Canis lupus familiaris: one gene and its partners. Each later gene encodes a partner of the first gene's protein in a complex. Links are inferred from orthologs where the notes say so. Each region holds a gene or a part of one and is shown in the gene's direction. Other genes may lie near its edges. The genes, in order: DRC1, FBXL13, DRC7, IQCG and CCDC153.

The links.
Region 2: DRC1 (region 1) and FBXL13 share a complex: the UniProt entries of both Homo sapiens proteins name them as parts of the nexin-dynein regulatory complex. The link is inferred for Canis lupus familiaris from reciprocal best matches to the Homo sapiens genes DRC1 and FBXL13.
Region 3: DRC1 (region 1) and DRC7 share a complex: the UniProt entries of both Homo sapiens proteins name them as parts of the nexin-dynein regulatory complex. The link is inferred for Canis lupus familiaris from reciprocal best matches to the Homo sapiens genes DRC1 and DRC7.
Region 4: DRC1 (region 1) and IQCG share a complex: the UniProt entries of both Homo sapiens proteins name them as parts of the nexin-dynein regulatory complex. The link is inferred for Canis lupus familiaris from reciprocal best matches to the Homo sapiens genes DRC1 and DRC9.
Region 5: DRC1 (region 1) and CCDC153 share a complex: the UniProt entries of both Homo sapiens proteins name them as parts of the nexin-dynein regulatory complex. The link is inferred for Canis lupus familiaris from reciprocal best matches to the Homo sapiens genes DRC1 and DRC12.

The regions. Positions count from the first base shown.
Region 1 is NC_049238.1:20,579,915-20,583,430, forward strand, and holds part of DRC1 (dynein regulatory complex protein 1), read left to right. Parts: intron 1-644; coding exon 645-829; intron 830-1,874; coding exon 1,875-2,015; intron 2,016-2,362; coding exon 2,363-2,465; intron 2,466-3,516. UniProt on the Homo sapiens protein: Component of the nexin-dynein regulatory complex (N-DRC) a key regulator of ciliary/flagellar motility which maintains the alignment and integrity of the distal axoneme and regulates microtubule sliding in motile axonemes.
Region 2 is NC_049239.1:17,323,171-17,326,686, forward strand, and holds part of FBXL13 (dynein regulatory complex subunit 6), read left to right. Parts: intron 1-419; coding exon 420-487; intron 488-1,535; coding exon 1,536-1,690; intron 1,691-3,516. UniProt on the Homo sapiens protein: Substrate-recognition component of the SCF (SKP1-CUL1-F-box protein)-type E3 ubiquitin ligase complex.
Region 3 is NC_049223.1:58,032,839-58,036,354, reverse strand, and holds part of DRC7 (dynein regulatory complex subunit 7), read left to right. Parts: intron 1-125; coding exon 126-198; intron 199-1,378; coding exon 1,379-1,507; intron 1,508-1,695; coding exon 1,696-1,824; intron 1,825-2,767; coding exon 2,768-2,988; intron 2,989-3,516. UniProt on the Homo sapiens protein: Component of the nexin-dynein regulatory complex (N-DRC) a key regulator of ciliary/flagellar motility which maintains the alignment and integrity of the distal axoneme and regulates microtubule sliding in motile axonemes.
Region 4 is NC_049254.1:29,454,214-29,457,729, forward strand, and holds part of IQCG (dynein regulatory complex protein 9), read left to right. Parts: intron 1-476; coding exon 477-605; intron 606-3,516. UniProt on the Homo sapiens protein: Component of the nexin-dynein regulatory complex (N-DRC), a key regulator of ciliary/flagellar motility which maintains the alignment and integrity of the distal axoneme and regulates microtubule sliding in motile axonemes.
Region 5 is NC_049226.1:14,703,649-14,707,864, forward strand, and holds the start of CCDC153 (coiled-coil domain-containing protein 153), read left to right. Parts: upstream 1-1,414; 5' UTR 1,415-4,216. UniProt on the Homo sapiens protein: Component of the nexin-dynein regulatory complex (N-DRC), a key regulator of ciliary/flagellar motility which maintains the alignment and integrity of the distal axoneme and regulates microtubule sliding in motile axonemes.

The DNA.
Region 1 (3,516 bases):
AAAAGATAACCAGGTTTCTTTTAATAAGAGAAGTGCAAATTAAAACTGTCCAAATTCCATGTGCAACTGTCACATTGGCAAGACTGTGCGAGTTGATAGCACATAGTGATTGGCCGAAGCGTGGGAACCAGACAGGCTCCTAAGTTGCCGCTGTGAGAGCCAAATGTTGCAGCGTCCCTATGGATGACTTCACCATGTACTCTATACCCTGCAGTTCTCCTAGGATTTCACTCTGCAGCTATGTCTCAATACATTTGAAAGGATGTGTTTATTGTAGCTCATTGGTTGCAGCATTGCTAGAAGTGGGAGAAGATTGAAAACAATCTACAATTCCATCGTGAAAGAATTCATTGTTCAGGGGAACAAGCCAAACCTCCTGCTCTTAGGAGCTGTGGTGAATCTACATAGTGGAATACTATGCACCGGTAAAAAAAAAAAAACAAAAAAGTTCTTTACGTATTTATGCGAAAACATCCCTAAGGTTTATTGTGAAACATGTAAAGTGCAGAACTGTGTGTGTCATAGAGCATCATTCCTGTGACAACGGGAGGGAAGGCGTTGCTTGTAGGGACATAGTATTTCTTTGGAAGGATACGTAAGAAACTGATGACATTGGTTTACCTTGGCATCTGTCACCCCCACAGGAGCAAACAAGCCTGATGTCGGCACTGGAGCCAGGAGAGAAGAGAGACCTTGAGGAACAGAAGGAGGAAAGCCTTGGGGAAGGGGAGGCAGAAGAGAAGGAGCATCCCCCTTCTCCCATGCTCATCCACCCCAACGATGTCCTCAAGATCCTGGAGGCCTTTGTCATGGGTCTGAAGAAGCCCAGGTGTGGTGCTGGAGGGCTTGCTTGAAGCGGGCTGGGCAGAGGCCATGCAGATGCTATAGTCTGAGTGTGGAGGTTGCAGGACAGGAACCTGGGTGGGGAGGAGAGGCTGGTCCTCGGGAGGGCTGGAGGAATCGGGGGACAAGTGGACATGAAGGAAAGAAATAGGCGTAGAAGTGATTTTCTCATTCATCATTCATTCAACAGTCACTGGGGTCTGCTGGGTGTGGGCCCTGTGGAGGGAGCGCTTGGTTATCAGAAAATGGGCAGAGCATAACAAGGTGTCACGTCACTTGGGAGAGGCAGTGGCTTCCCCATCTGGCATGTCCGAGAGGGGTTTAGGCACCCAAACTGGGTTTTCCTGGGTGGATTAAGTGGGAGGAAAGGGCACTTCAGGGTGTCACAGTATGGGGAAAGGCCTGGTATATTCCAGAATCGTGGCAGAGAGGTGTGGCTAGTGTCAGGGTCTTCCCTGGGAAGTGAGACCAGTGGGCAGGGGAGCCAGGCAAGGAGAGCCTTGCTCGCCGTGCCCAAGATCTTTGTCTTTGTCCTTTAGTGGCCCGGAGCCAGAGCATGGTTTTAAGCAGTGGAGGCGCCATGGTTGGGCTTGCATTTTGCAAAGATCCCTTTGGTGGTGGGGAGGGGGCGGTGATGCCAGATACAGGAGAGCAGCTGAAAGGTTTGTCCTGGTGGAGTTGATGATATCCTGGATCAAGGCTATCCTTGAGGGGATGCCGAATTCTGAGAGGTGTTTTGGATGCATTAGTGAAAGAACTGGGCATAGTAGCGGGATATAAAGTCAGTGAGGTAAACTGACTGAGAGAAAGGGGATGACAAAAGCGACAATGGCACCAGGAGTCAGGAATGCTGAGGGCAGTCATGTGCACTTTCTGAGAATTGGCCATAAGCCGGTAGACTCACGAAGCTGAGTGGGAAGGTGACTGGTGGACAAGCAGAGTCTGTGAGGGACAGGCACTGTGACTAGCCCCACGTGGGGACCTGGGGGGTGCCAGGTGGCGATGATGATACTGTTGCTCTTAACCTTCAGGGACTCCCGGGCACCAGTGAAGTTGAAGCATGTGCGAGATGACTCGAAGGACTCTGAGTATTGGGAGGCCCTGACCACAGTTATCTCTGATACCACGCAGAACCTCTGGGACGCTCTGTACACAGCTTTGGAGAAGTATCAGTGAGTGTGCATGTCATAGCCCAGGAGAAGGAGGGGCCCAGCCAGTTGGTGGAGGAGGATTCTGCTTGCAGTGGCCAGTTTGCCACCTCCCTGACTTGGAGAGAAAAGCTGCCTTTGGAGGGAAAGGTCCTGTTGAAGGGGCATGTGGTATTGTTGGGTGGCTGGTCCTCTGGCTTCCTATTCTGTTCCTGCTAGCCTGGTTTGTTTTGGGCAGGGAGGTTGCTCTGGGGTCAGGCTTCTGGAATCCTCTTCCACCTCTAAACAGACCAGAAACACAGAGATCCTGGTCCCTACTTGGCAGAGGATGCAGGATTCAATGAGCCTCTAACTGATTTTTCCACCCAAAGCCTCATCCTGACCCAGAGGGCCACGCTGCTGATAGAAAACAACTCTCTGGAGCAGCAGAACACAGAGCTCCAGATGCTGCTTCAACAGTATCTAGATTCCAAGGTGGGTGACGGACCCTCCAAGGACGGTAGGCAGGCGGCCAAGGGAGGCAGTGGGGCTGGAGCTGATATTAGGAAATGAGTCTCTTTCCTCACCAGAAGCAAGGGAGCATTGAGGTGTGACATAAAGTATCAACAGTCATACCTGAGGTTGGGACAGAATTATTGGGCAAGGGAATGGACAATCCTAAAGCCTTCTCTGAGATGTTTGGGCTGTGAGAGTGCCCCTTTCATACCCATGGTCTTTGGCACAAGCTGCTTGTTGGACTATTCTTGGAAGCAGTGCCAAAGCTCACGATGGCTTCATAGCCCACAGAACCCTTCCTTATGAATTTTCTTCTTTGTCTTAACAACCCCTCTGTGAGGTCAATAGGGCATAGATGATTCTCCCAAAAAGGAGAATCAAGACTGGGTGACTCTGTGACATGCCCAGAGCCCTGGGCTCTTCCCATATTACTGACCCAGGTTGTCCGGCCTGGGATGTAACACGGTGAGAGGAGGCGCCAACTGGGATAGATATTTGCTGGCCCCCATTCTTGCCCGCTCCAGTGTGGTTGGGGCAACTGTTCCCATGGCCTGCAGGAGAGGAAATCTCACTGCCTCTGCTCCAAAGATTAGAATCCACTCATAACACAGTTGGTGGCTCTGCTCTGCTAGTGTAGAATCTTTTACATGATGCTGAAGCCCTGGGCCAGGACAGCCTTAACACACTGGGCTGAGGGTAGGTTCTCCTCACCAGCGGTGTGTGTGAGAGGTGACTGAGGCCAGCCACAAGCCCCGGAACTGAGAATGTGGCCCCACCATGGTCTCAGGCCCCAGGCCACACCTGAGCAGAGGATGTGGTAAGCCTTGGTGTCGTGATGGCCTGTTGGCCTGTGATACACATTAGAGGACTATGTGGTCCGTGCTTTTGTCCACGCTGCTGTGTACAAGAAGATGGGGGGGGGGGGGAGGGAGGGGGAGGGCTAGACTGGTGATGGGATGCACAGGTGAGGGGGGGGGAGGGAGGATTTAAGAGAGTGGCTCAGAGCAGAAGGTTAAGAACATTACCAAAG
Region 2 (3,516 bases), on another chromosome or scaffold:
TTTAAGTTGCAATCTTAACTTCTGAAAAATAGATAACAGGTGTGCCTGGGTATCTCAGTTAGTTGGGTGTCTGCCTTCAGCTTGGGTCATGACCCCAGGTTGCTGGGAGGGAGCCCTACATCCAGCTCTCTCCCTGCATGGAGCCTGCTTCTCCCTCTGCCTGCTGCTCCCCCTGCTTGTGCTCTCTCTCTCTGTCAAATAAATAGATGAAATCTCAAAAAAAAAGAAAAAAAATAGGTAAGAGACATATACAAAAAAATTACAAAATATATAAATGGTATGTGGTTCTTCCAGTCTGTTCCTGTCACCCTACTGCCCAGTGCAACCATTGCTCACATTTTCCTGTGTATCTTCTGGGGTTAGCCTTTGCATTCCATTTATTTCTAATGTTTGGTATTTCATTTATTTGTTTACTTTAGATGACTCCAGAACTGATGATAAAAGCATGTACTTTTTATACTGGACATTTAGTAAAGACTCACTTTTGGTAAGAAAATGATTTTTACATACTATTTATTTGTGTTTTTATTCTTAATATTCTCCACATGAAGAACTCATTTTTGGCCAGTTGTTCTGATTTTATCTATTTAATCATGTCTCCATCATTTTGCATTGTATATTTCTTGTATTTTTATTTGGCTTTTATTTAATTAAAATACGTTCTTTACTTCAAGGCATTGCTTTTTAAAAAAAAATAAAACTTCAAAATTGAAAGGATAAGTCTACAATATCTTCATCTGAAATCCTTGGAGATATGTTTTGAAATTTAGATTCCTTTTCTTAAAAATTTTTACAAAGGTAACTTCTGTACATTCTATATATTATATAACATCTTCAGTGGTGTTTGGGGCAGCATGTTGGAACCAAACATGTTCAAATATATTAGTATTTCTACTCTATATATTATGTATATGTATATAAAATGAAATGTATATGAAATAAAGTGGAAAAAAGACTGTGAACAGCTATGTGTTAAATCCAGGGAGGATTTTGATGCAAACTTACTTTAGTTTTTAAATTTTTATTTATTTATTTTAAAGATTTATTTATTTTAGAGACAGAAAGTGGGAGTGGGGGGTGGAGGGTGAGGGTGGACAGAGAGAGAGAGAGAATCTCAAGTCAAATCTGTGTGAATGTGGAGCCTGATACAGGGCTGGATCCCAGGACTGCAAGATCGTAAGTTGAGCCGAAATCCAAATTCGGATGCTCAACCAACTGAGCCGCTGAGGTACCCCAATGCAAAATTACTTTAGGTCAGGTCTAGTTTTGCCTCTAAATAGGTTACAACAAAAACTTCTGAATTTCAGATCTTTTCTGGGTTTTAGAAATGTAGCAAAAGGAAGAGCAAGCTCAAAGGAAATGCAAGGACTAGCTGGAAATAAAACAATAACAATAATTGAACAATAATTGAACAACCCCTATACTGTGGTTTTAGGGGAGACAAAGGAGGTATTATTACTCCTCTCCCTCTCCATTTATTAGTAATGTACTGCCATAATATCAAAATACTATTTTTCTGTACTTTCTGCCTATAGCATTTGGAGAGACATAGCAATACCTCTTATAAATGAAGAGAACATTCTAGCTGAAAAAATGGAAAAAGCAATAGAATATGACAATTTCAGACTTCAAAAATATGTATTTCGTCTTTGGCACTCTTATGCAGCAGGTCAAAAAAAACTACTTACAGGTAAATCTTTACATACTAGCAGTTGGTCTTTGTATTCGGGTATTCAAAGAATCAACACATTTAACAATTAAGCAGTTTGTACTAGAGAAGTTGTTATGATGTCTAGAGAACTGTCATGAAATGTAAAACCACTAATTTATTTTTTTTTTTTTTTTTTTTTTTTTTTTTTTTTTTTTTTATGATAGTCACAGAGAGAGAGAGAGAGGCAGAGACACAGGCAGAGGGAGAAGCAGGCTCCATGCACCGGGAGCCCGATGTGGGATTCGATCCCGGGTCTCCAGGATCGCGCCCTGGGCCAAAGGCAGGCGCCAAACCGCTGCGCCACCCAGGGATCCCTAAAACCACTAATTTAAAATATTTAATGAGATTTGTCTCAAAGGGTTTTTTTTAAAAAAAATATTTTATTATTTATTCATTCATGAGAGACACAGAGAGAGAGGCAGAGACACAGGCAGAGGGAGAAGCAGGCTCCATGCAGGGAGCCGGACATGGGACTTGATCCTGGGACTCCAGGATCAGGCCCTGGGCTGAAGGCGCTGCTAAACCGCTGAGCCACCCAGGCTGCCCTCAAAGGGTTTTATTGTAATAGAAAACAGGCATGTTTAAAATGAAATCCTATATGTATTTGTGTGATGTATGTACAAATATAAATATAAATAGGGATCTACTATCATCATTTTTACTCACAGAGAGCTGGTATATCACAGACAGGTACCGAAATGGACTATTTCTTGTAGAGAGTTTTCCATTCCTTACAGATGTTTCATTTAATGGATACATGAGGAAACAAAGAAAACAAATTTTCTTTTCCTTATACCCTTGATAACTGTAATGAATAGACAATGAATGTACATGATCTTTGGAATAGAAATAGGGAACTCCAGCCTTTTGCTCAGAATTTAGCCACTTCACCAGATACTGGTTTATGGCTGCTGCAAACCAGAGAATCATTTCCTCTTGATATCTCAGTTACAGTGAGCCCTCTGAAGGTTTTTGTTTTGTTTTGTTTTATTTTTTAGAGAGGAAAAGAGAGAGAGCAAGCACACATGGGAGCATGGGGGGTGAGGGGGGGAGAAGTGGCTTAGGAAGAGGGAGAGAGAGAATCTTAAGCAGACTCCATGCCCAGCACAGGGCAGAGGATGGGACTCAATCTCATGACCCTGAGATTACAACCTGAGCTGAAATGAAGAGTCGGAAACTTAACTGATTGAGCCACCCAGGTGCCCTCTGAAGGTTTTAACATAAGATTGATGGGCCTCTAATTCTGAGAAGAAACAATTGGCTGCAGCTTAGAAGCCACAGTCTTCTTAAGTGGTGTCCCTGGGGCCTGCCCTTAGTCATCCTCCTTTCTGGCCTGGCTCATATGTTTGAGCTTTGGGATCCTTGGTTAAAACACAAAATGGAGCAGTTTATTTAATCATAGGGCATTCAACTAAATCAGAATACCACCTGATAATTGTATTTCTATGAATAAGTTTGGATGTTCTGGTTTTATAAAAAACAGAGTTGATTAAAAAATGAAATTATATGTATCATATATGTCTTGATGTGTTATTACATCTATTATATATTAAAATTTTTTTAAAGGTTCTATTTATTTATTTGAAAGAGAATGAGATAGCGAAAGAGCACGAGCAGGGGGGAAGGGCAGAGGGAGAGGGAGAAACACACCCCCTCAAGCAGGGAGCCCGACTCAGGGCTCGATCTCAACACCCCAAGATCATGATCTGAGCCAAAGGCAGATGCTTAACCACCTGAGCCACACAGATACCCCTACATCTTAATTTCTAAGGGCAAAGGTGATGTTTACAGGTTAATAAAGTTTC
Region 3 (3,516 bases), on another chromosome or scaffold:
CCTGGGGGAGCTAGCAGCCACTGTGGCTTGGCCCTGGGGGGGGCAAGACAGAGGCTCTGCCTCTAGCTTCCGCTCCAAGGCCCAGCCCTGACCAGAGCCTGCCCCCTCCCCACCTCTCCCAACAGGGCAAGGAGGATGAGGATAAGAGTTTCGACATGCCACCCTCATGGGTGGAGCAGATTGAGATCTCCCCAGAAGGTACATGCACATTTGTGTTCCTTGCCTCCCCAGGACCAGTTAGTGGGGGAGCCAGTGAAGGCTGCCCCAGCCCCTCATTTCCACCTCTCCTGCCTTCTGCTGTGCCCTGATGCACCCTGCTCTGAACAGTGTCTCTGTTCTATCTACTTCCCGCCACATGCACTCAGCTCTGTGGCTGGGGGCCTGACACCAGTCTGGTGTACGGGGGAGGAAGGGAGGGGTGCCAGGTTAACCTGTGCTAGGTGATGGAGTGTGGATAATAAAGGACGGAGGAGAGGGATCCCTGGGTGGCTCAGCGGTTTGGCACCTGCCTTCGGTCCAGGGTGTGATCCTGGAGTCCCGGGATCAAGTCCCACATCAGGTTCCCTGCATGGAGTCTGCTTCTCCCTCTGCCTGTGTCTCTGCCTCTCTCTCTCTCTCTCTCTCTCTCTCTCTCAGTCTGTGTCTCTCATGAATAAATAAATAAAATATTTTTAAAAATAAATAATAAAAAAATAAAGGACGGAGGACCAGGACGTGGTTGTTGCCCTCCCCCACCCCCCTGCCAGGAGGAGGCCAAACAGCATAGTACCCAGATGGCAGAGGGGAGCAGAGGCATCAGGACCAGGGAGGAGCAGCTCCCCAGGGAGGAGTAGGCAGAGAAAGCAGCAGGGAAGGGCCACTTGTGAGCCACGCCAACATCTACTGGCTGTTGAGGTTCCTGTCTGGGAGGCCTAGACCCACACGGAGGGCATAGGGTATTCCAACAGTGGGAAGGGCTAGAGAGGGCATCATGGGAACCAGGGGAGGAGTTCCCAGCCCAGCTGCCCGCTTGGGGACTGGGAGAAGGTGGGCAGGAAGGGCTTCCAAGAGGAGGAGGAGTCTGAGCAGGGTTTTAAGGGATCAGAAGCCAGCCCAGTAAGGGCAGGAGGGGATGGTGATTCCCGCAGAGAGACCTGCACAGGCAGAGGCCCAGCAGCGAGTGAGTGGTGTGGTAGGGCACAGCTCCCGTGGTCAGGCTCAAAGCTGAGAACTCCTCCAGGGCAGGAGCTACCCTGGTGACTACTTCCCTCTGTCTCCCTGGAGTGGGCTTGGGGCCTGGAGGAGTTTAGCACAGTGACCAGATGAGTGGCTGAGTGGGGTTGGCCCTCTAGTGCCCCAATCTGGGGAGGCGGGACCCCAGCCCACTCTGTGTCTGCAGCGTTCGAGACCCGCTGCCCCAGTGGGAAGAAGGTGATCCAGTACAAGAGGGCCAAGCTGGAGAAGTGGGCCCCATATCTCAACAACAATGGCCTCGTGTGCCGCCTCACCACCTACGAGGACTTGGAGTGTAAGGCGGGCAGCCCCGGCCGCGAGGGCAGGAGAGCTGGGTTCCCCAGTGGGCTATGTGACCTTGGGCACGTCCCTGCCAGGCACTTGTTGTGCGTGTGGGCCCCCGCTGACCTGTGTGCCGGGAAGGGTGGGACAGAGGCTGGGGGAGCCAGCCTGGCTGTGGCAAGTACTGATCGTGCCCTGCAGGTACCAAGACTTTGGAGATAAAGGAGTGGTACCAGAACCGGGAGGATATGCTAGAGCTAAAACACATCAACAAGAGCACAGGTCTGAATATCGACTACTTCAAGCCAGGCCATCCCCAGGCTCTGCGTGGTGAGTGGAACCCGCTGTCGGTCCCAGTGGGAGCCCAGGGTATGACAAGCAACATAAGCCCCCACCCCTGCCTCCCTAAGCAAACCAGATGTGCACGAGGCCAGGGGAAGTGCAGAAGATGTGACAAATGTCCCTCCAGGAAAGTCAAAACCAGGGCCACATGCCCATTCTGTGCTTAGGGCTAGGCACATGCTGAAGGCCACCTTTCTAAGGGGTCAGGACACAGAGCAACAAAACTAACAAATGCCCCCACAAGGGCGATGCGGAGGGCAGGGGTGTGGTCATGAGCCCAAGAGGCAGGGAAGTGAGGGAAGGATGTGTCTTGAAAGAATCAACAGCCCTAACCAAGGACACAGAGAAGAAAAGCCTAGTGTCATTATATATCCTTTAAAAATGATCAAACTCACTTGATGGCTGAAATGAAAGAAAAAGGAAGGAAGGAAGGAAGGAAGGAAGGAAGGAAGGAAGGAAGGAAGGAAGGAAGGAAGGAAGGAAGGAAGGAAGGAGCCGTTTTACAAACCTCATGTTGCGAAGATGACAAAATGGTCCTACCGGTGTGTAAGCAAAGCAGCAGAGAGTTGCTCCCTGTCACTGCTCATAGGACAGCAAACTGGCTCAACTTTTCGAGAAAGTAGTTGGGCAAAATAATAATAGCTTTAAAATACATACGCTTTTCGACCAGCTGTGCTACCTCTGAGAATTTGTCCTGAGCAAATACTGGGCAAGAACTAAAGAATGTTCACCCTGGTGTTGTTTCTAATGACAAAAAGGTGAGAAACAACCTGAACACCCAGCAGTGGGGCATTGGTTCCATAAGTCCTGCTCATCCGCGAGCATCCATGGACATGCCTTCTCCCTGGGGCCCGGGCCCGGGTTCTCAAGCCAGGGGCCAGCGCTCCTGGTCTCACCCCGCTGCCTTCCCGGCCCCCGCCTCCCACCACAGCGCACTCGTACGTGTCTATGCAACCCGAGATGGACCGGGTCATGGAGTTCTACGAGACAGCCCGTGTGGACGGCCTGGTAAAGCGGGAGGAGACGCCCAGCTCGATGACGGAGCACTACCGAGGACGGTCTGACTTCCTCTCCTACCGCCACGTGGATTTTGGGCCCAGGGTGAAGAAGTTGGCTCTGAACAGCGCAGAGTCAAACCCGCGGCCAGTGGTGGTGAGCTGTCGTTGGGGCAGGCACAGGGCGCCCGCTCTCTGCGGCAGCGCTGGAGCCACACCTTCAGGAGGGGGCACCTCCTGGTTATAAAGCGGGAGAGATTGTGCCCCCTGCCACTGTGCCATACGTGCACACTAGAACGGTGGCTCTCAGATACTACTGTGCCAGTGTCCATAGGCTTGGTTCTTGGGAGTCTTTTCTAACCTATTTGAGATGTGTGTGTGAGCGAAGGTAGGACCCCTGTATCGCTCACCTCACATTGAATCGGCCCTTTTCCCTCCACATCCCTGCAAATGACCTGGCAGCTGTGGCTAATGGCTGTCTACCCAAGGAGCTCTTCCCAGCAGGAAGGGATGTGTAGTGATAAAGCAGGGCGCCTGGCGAGGTGGTGAGCTCCCTATCTCTGGAGGTGAGCAAATAGAACCCTGTGCGGGAAGAGAAGAAATGCCGCAGCATCAGGGCTGAGGTGGCCCGGCTGAGGACCCACGGGGCCCTGGGGAGCCATCGGCGGCAGGAAGGGCTGCTCCA
Region 4 (3,516 bases), on another chromosome or scaffold:
TTTGTTGTTTATTTTCAAATGAGTGGGTACTGAATTTTGCCTAATACCTTTTTTGCATCTATTGCGATAGCCATATGGTTTGTTTCCTTTTGCTTTTGTTTTTGTTTTGTTTTGTTTTAAAAGATTTTATTTATTCATGAGAGACACAGAGAGAGAGAGAGGCAGAGACACAGGCAGAGGGAGAAGCAGGCTCCATGCAGGGGGCCCAATGTGGGACTGGATCCTGGGACTCCAGGATCATGCCCTAAGCCAAAGTAGATGGCAGACGCTCAACCACTGAACCACCCAGTCGTCCCTCCTTTTGCTTTTGTTTATGTGATGAATTCTATTAATAGATTTTCTAATGCTAAACTATTCTTGCATTCCAGGAATAATTCCAGCTAGTCATGCTTTTTATCCTGGGTCTTAACCTGTGTGACTTCTGTAGCCCTTTGTATATATACTTTATTAACTCATCCTTTTGTGTCTCCTTACAGGCAATTTTTCAGTGATATAATTACAAAGACCATGCAGGAGTTAGAAGAGTCAGGCACTTTCACCAGTCTTCTGGAAGCTCTGGGCAAAGAAAGAGAAAACAAAATGCATTTCTATGATATCATTGCCAGGTCCGAGTAATATGTTTATTTGCTGTGTTGTATTTTAAAGTGCTATTAGCCTTTCCTAGAAGTCCTTGATTTCTAAAGCAAATCAAATTTGTGATTTCCAGGGAAGGTAAATAGACCTCAGAAATTTAGGTGCTAATTCAGATTTCTGGGCTTTAGTTATGTGTATCTATAATATGTCAAAAGTATTCTTCCAAAAAAAAAAAAGTATTATTCCTATTGTATAGTAATCTTTCTTTTTTTAAAAAAAAAAAAGTGAATTTCAGTTAGTTAACATTATTTAGTAGTATTATTTTCAGGTGTACAATATAGTGATTCACCACTTCCATGCAATACTCGTGCTTATCATGATAATTGTACTCCTTAATCTACATCATCTGTTTAACCCATATCCCCCTCCTCTGGCAACCATCACTTTGTTCTCTATAGTTAAGAGTCTGTTTCTTAGTTTGTTTTCCTCTTTTTTTCCTTTGCTTGTTCATTTGTTTTTTCCTTAAATTCCACATATGAATGAAATCATATGGTGTTTGTCTTTCTCTGACTGACTTATTTTGCTTAGCATTACACTCTCTAGTTCCATCCATGTTGTTGCAAATGGCAAGATTTCATCTTGTTTATGGCCAAATAATATTCCATTGTAGACATACCACATATTCTTAACCAACTGAGCCACCCAGGTGCCCCTATACCACATATTCTTTATCCATTTTTTAATCAATGGACACTTGGGCTGCTTCCATACTTGGCTACTGTAAATGATGCTGCTACAAATGTAGAGATGCATGTATCCCTCTGAATTAGTGTTTTTGTATTCTTTGGGTGAAAACCTAGTAGTGTGATTACTGGATTGTAGGGTAGTTCCATTTTTAACTTTTTAAAGAAACTCCATACTGTTTTCCACAGTGGCTCTATCAATTTGCATTCCCACAAAGAGTGCAAAGGGTTCTGTTTTTCTCCACATCTTCAGCCAACACCTGTTGTTTCTTGTGTTGTTGATTTTAGCCATTCTGACAGATGTGAAGTGATATCTCATTATAGTTTTGATGTGTATTTCCCTAATGATAGGTAAGTTTTGATGAACATCTTTTCATGTGTCTAGTAGCCATCTGGTGTCTTCTCTGGAGAAATCTCTGTTCATGTCTTCTGCCTATTTTTTAACTGGATTATTTTTAGGGGTGTAGAGTTTTATAAGTTTTTTGTATATTTTGGGTACCAACCCTTTATCAGAAATGTCATTTGCGGGCAGCCCCCGTGGCTCAGCGGTTTAGCACTGCCTTCAGCCCAGGGCCTGATCCTGGAGACCCGGGATCGAGTCCCACGTCAGGCTCCCTGCATGGAGCCTGCTTCTCCCTCTGCCTGTGTCTCTGCCTCTCTCTCTCTCTGTCTCTCATGAATAAAGAAATTTTAAAAATCTTAAAAAAAAAAAAGATTTAAAGTATTGTTTACAAAGTTATAATAACGGGGGAAATGTTTATGTCACAATTTTAAGTTGAAAAAGAAAGGCTGGAAATAATAAAGTATTATCCCATCTATATAATAAAACTGAAAAAAAAAACATGAATAGAAAATGAAAACTAGGGGATCCCTGGGTGGCTCAGCAGTTTAGCACCGCCTTCAGCCCAGGATGTGGTCCTGGAGTCCCGGGATCGAGTCCCACCTCGGGCTCCCAGCATGGAGCCTGCTTCTCCCTCTGCCTGTGTCTCTGCCTCTCTCTCTCTCTCTCTCATGAATAAATAAATAAAATCTTTAAAAAAAAAAAAAAGAAAAGAAAATGAAAACTGAAAGGGAATATACCAGTGTGTTAATAATTTGGCTGTTTTTTTAAAAAAAAATCTTCAGTATTTTCTAAGTCTTCACCTTACTAAGAGAGAAAATAAACTTATGTTCTCAAAGATTTTATTTATTTATTTGAGAGAGAGTGAGGAGGGGGAGGAGCAGAGAGAGGGAGAAGCAGACTCCATGCTGAGCATGGAGCCTGTCGTGGGGCTCGATCCCATGACCCTGAGATCATGACCTGAGCCAAAACATGCGTTAGATGCTCAACTGACTGAGCCACCCAGATGCCTCTTGTAAATAAACTTATTAACCAAAAAACTAAATAAAATACATATACTCTTTGACCCAACATTTCTACTTTGAAAATATAGGAAAAAATTAGCTCATATTATATATATATATACACAAAATATTCATTGTAGCATAATGGTAAAAATCTAGAATTGTATAAATGTCCTTTAATAAAGGAATTCTTGAATAGTTGTTAATTTTAGGAAATAAGAAACATGCAGCTGTTAAAAAGAATAAATTAGAGGCGCACCTGAGTAGGTCAGTCAGTTGAGCATCCAACTCTTGATTTGAATAAATGAGAGCTCTATGATTGATCAGAGGAATTTTCTTCATATGCAGATAAATGGAAAAAGCTACAGTATTATGTGTATAATATAAATTTTTATCTTTTTTTTTTTTTAAGTAGGCTTCATGCCTAGTGTTGAGCCCAACATTGGGCTTGAACTCATGACCCTGAGATCAACACCTGAGCTGAGATCAAGGCAGCTGAATCACTCAGGTGCCTCTGCAATATGATTAAAAAAAAAATCTCATCCATATATGTAAGAACATAGAGAAAGATGTGGGAGGATATACATCAAAAGATTTAACATTGCTTACTTCACAGGAGGGAATTGGACGGGATTCCTATTCAGTTTTGAAATAATTCCTATTCAGTTTTGAAATATTACAATATGCACTTGTTACTTAGTGATTTCAAAAAAAGCTAATCAAGTAAGAAAAAGAAAAAAGAAAAATATGTACTACTATTTGGAAGGGAGAAGATAATCTCAATGTAGATAGTTTGCTAGTGATTGATTTTCCATATGATTACATAGTGATCATGTATGATAATCTCTTCTTTTAG
Region 5 (4,216 bases), on another chromosome or scaffold:
CTCCAGGCCTTGACCACAGCGGCCCAGGCCCGAGGCAGCTGCCGGCCCTGGCCAGGGGAGGACTCACTCCCCGCGTGGAACAGAAATGCAGTTCCCAGTCATTTCCACTTCTCTAATCTAAAAAGTTCTGTTGGAAAAACTCTGAAAAAAAAAAGGGGAACTTTTCTTCCAAAAGAAGGAAGTGCCCTGCCCTGATTTGCTAATTCTGAGCCTCCTCTTTGGGAGCTTGCAGGCTCTAGCGTGTCTGTTAAATGCTCAATTCTGTCTTAGATCCCCTACCTGGGTCTTCCACAAAGCCCTTAACTGATTAAGGAATTAAGTGTATCATGTGCTCCTGGCATAGAGGGGAGAAAAATCTCTCTGAACTCAAGGACTCATAAGCCAGACATCCTTGCTTTGAAATTCAATGGCCTTTATCTAAGATTGATTATGGAGTCAACATTATCGTTTACTATCAGAATTTCCTCTTATCAGTTCCTGCCTAGAAAGAGAAGAAATCTTTAAAAAAAAAGAGAGAGAGAGAGAGAGAGAGAGAGAAGAAATCTCCCAAAGGAAAATCTAGGCAAGGCTCTAAGATAACTGTCAAAACTGGGGGCACCTGGGTGGCTCAGTGGTTGAGCATCTGCCTTTGGCTCATGGTGCCAGGGGTCCTGGGGTGGAGTCCCACTTCAGGCTTCCCACAGGAAGCCTGCTTCTCTTCTCCCTCTGCCTATGTTTCTGCCTCTCTCTCTGTCTCTCATGAATAAATAAATAATTTTTAAAAATAATAATAAAAATAAATTTCACTAACTGTTCATTCTCACAGGTACCACATTTATTTATGCTATGCTATTTCATTGACTTTGGTCTTCTGGGGTACCTAACACGTTGTAGGTACACAGGGTATTTTTCCCCCTCATCATCAAATGCTAGATTTACTGGAGTAACAGGTAAGAAATTAACCCTTGGGCCTATATGAGTTCATCTGGTTCATCTACACATCTCTGGCTTCCTTTAAGCCTTCCAATTTGTATTATCTTCGGCACCACCTGGATAGAGTGTAACTGTATAATTTGTACTTTGTTTCTGCTTGCAGAAGCTGTATCTCTGGTGGCGCCTGGGTGACTCAGTCGGTTAAGCCCTGGACTCTGGATTTCAGCTCAGGTCATGATGACAGAGTCGTGAGGTCAAGCCCTGTATTGGGCTTACACTGGGTATAGAGCCTGCTTAAGATTCCCTCTCTTTGGGATCCCTGGGTGGCTCAGTGGCTTAGTGTCTGCCTTTAGCCCAGGGCATGATCCTGGGGACCCAGGATCGAGTCCCACATCAGGCTCCCTGCATGGAGCCTGCTTCTCCCTCTGCCTGTGTCACTGCCTCTCTGTGTCTCTCATGAATAAATAAATAAGTCTTTAAAAAAAAAAAAGATTCCCTCTCTTCCCTTCCCTCCTCTCAAAAAAGAAAAAAATACATACTTTTTTTTAAGATTTATTTATTTGAGAGAGAGAGAGAGAATGTGCATGGCACACACAAGTGGAGCAAGTGAATGGAGGGGCAGAGAATCTCCCGCAAACTCCATCTGCACTGAGCTCATGATCCAAGGAGGGGCTCAATCTCACCACCCTGAGATGAGGACTTGAGCCCAAATCAGGAGTCAGATGCCTAACTGTGCCACCCAGGTGCCCTATCAAAATTTTTTTTTAAAGCCACATTTCTTTAAATATACAAATAAACTCTCTCTCGCATTTGAATAAAGCAGAGGGAGTGACAGTTCTTTCCTCTATATCTCTTCAAAACTCCCAGATGGAATCCTATTCAAAGGAGGACAGAGTTCTGCTGAGATGATCTTTCTTATTTTTCACTTCTAATCTGAAGTTAATGAAAAAAAGAAGGAAAGATTGACCTTCCCCCCAACCACCACAATTTTTACTTGGCTTGTTTTCAAAGCATACTGAGGATGGGGATTGGATTGTTGATCACAATGTCATTCGCATTCTTGGGTCATTCTAGATCTGGCTCAGTTTGTATCATCACATCATGTGACATGGGGCACTTTTCTTCTTCCATTTCACCTTCACCCAAACCACATCCTCATTCTGCACCTGAAAGTCGGTTGACTGAACATATTTGAAAAGTAAATCCTCTTCTGAGGCGTGATATGTTGTTTGTATTCTGTAAACTCTGTCCTCAAAATGTCATCGCATGCATCAGCACAATGCAGAAACCAATCATTCCCTGAAAAGTGACCCCAAACAGGCTTCTAGATGAGGAGAGGACTGTGGTGGGAACCTCTCCTGCATTCCTATGCAGAGGAAAGAGTTCTGAGGGGAGAATAAATGAAACACACTTCAAGATGAGAAGAAAAGTATTCTCCAGATTTGGGAGTTGTGAACAAAGTTATCTGACCCTACATTACGGGAACTATAAGCCCCAGAAAAGGCAAGTATTCTTCTCTATACTCTGTAAAATCTCTCAAGCATCAGAGAAGTACCCAGCAGCCACCAAGGTGACAAATAAGCATAAATCAGCCCCATCTGAATCTCTCCACTCCCCAGGGAAAGGATTTTTAAAACCCAGATCGCAAAGCTATTTCTTCAGATCTGCTCCTGAGGACAGGCAATTGACCAAAAATGTTGAGGGGGACAGAGATTGAGAGAAATAACAAGAGAATCTGCAGGTTCCTTGATCCACAAAGGGAAAATCCCTGATGTTTTTTGCTGTTTTCATTCTAGCAAGTGTATGGTTCCCAGAGATCCAGGCAGCAGACAGATGAAAAAGCTCCAGAATAACTAACACAGGGCTGGAGGAGAGAGGGTTGGGGGTTGCCTAACAAGGACAAGTCACCCATCATACTCCCTTCCCCAGAACCATTTTTCCAACCACTCATGCCCCAGCAAGAGGCTAGGAAGTATCCCCTAGAGAGAGGCACTCCCAACATGGCCCAATAATTTTTTTTTATTTTTATTTATTTATGATAGTCACAGAAAGAGAGAGAGAGAGAGACGCAGAGGGAGAAGCAACCGGGAGCCCGATGTGGGATTCGATCCCGGATCTCCAGGATCACGCCCTGGGCCAAAGGCAGGCGCCAAACCGCTGCGCCACCCAGGGATCCCATGGCCCAATAATTTAAGTAGAAAAATTGAGGAGACTCCTGAGGTCAAGCAAGTCCACTAGAGGGAGCCCCGACCAACTCAATTCTACATGAAGCCTAGCAAAGGAGTTTCGCAGCACCTGACTGAAAACCAGCCACAGAAGGGAATAGAGGAAGAGAGGCAATAAATTAAGTCCCCGCAAGGGAAGATGGCCCTGTGAATTCCCAGTTAAAACCCAGCCCTTTTAGGATTTACCAAATCAAAGACTTAAAGACCAGGAAACTAAGGGGTACCTGGGTGGCTCAGTGGTTGAGTGTCTGCCTTTGGCTCAGGGCGTGATCCTGGGGTCCTGGAATCAAGTCCTGCATGGGGCTCCCCACAGGGAGCCTGCTTCTCCCTCTGCCTATGTCTCTGCCTCTCTCTGCGTGTCTCTCATGAATAAATAAATAAAATCTTTAAAATATATATAATAAAAACTAGGAAACTGAGGTTGAGCAAAATTAAACAACTGACCCAAGTTTACGTAACTGGAGGGAGGACTAGAACTCATGGCTCTTGTCTCCCACTACTACCCTTTCTTCTACATCTGCAGCCCTTTATGTCAGCACCCTGGAGTCTGTGGGTCCTCCTCTCCTCTGTGTCTCCTCTCTCCAAACTGAGAAACTCTCTCAGCTGCCTTCTCCTGCATTTCTTTCGCTCACACACTCTAGAATACCTCCCTGAGGCCTAATAATGGCACTTGCTCATGAGCCCTAGTGATGTAAATCGCCCAAGATGGCTACTGTCAGCTCTTTTCCTGTTTCAGCATTTTCCTGTGACAGCATCGTATCAGATATGGAAATCTGTAACTTCTCAGTCTCCAGACTTCAGGCAGTGCTACATGGAAATGAAGCATGGCTAACCAGCTCTGAAGCCCTTTCCCCTCCAACTACACTGAGGATTTACGGATAGGAGAGAGTGGACTCTCCAGAACCTTGCTGTCTTTTTTTTTTTTAATAATAAATTTATTTTTTATTGGTGTTCAATTTGCCAACATACAGAATAACACCCAGTGCTCATCCCGTCAAGTGCCCCCCTCAGTGCCCGTCACCCATTCACCCCCACCCCTAAGAACCTTGCTGTCTTAAGCTTTGTGCTTGGCACATACC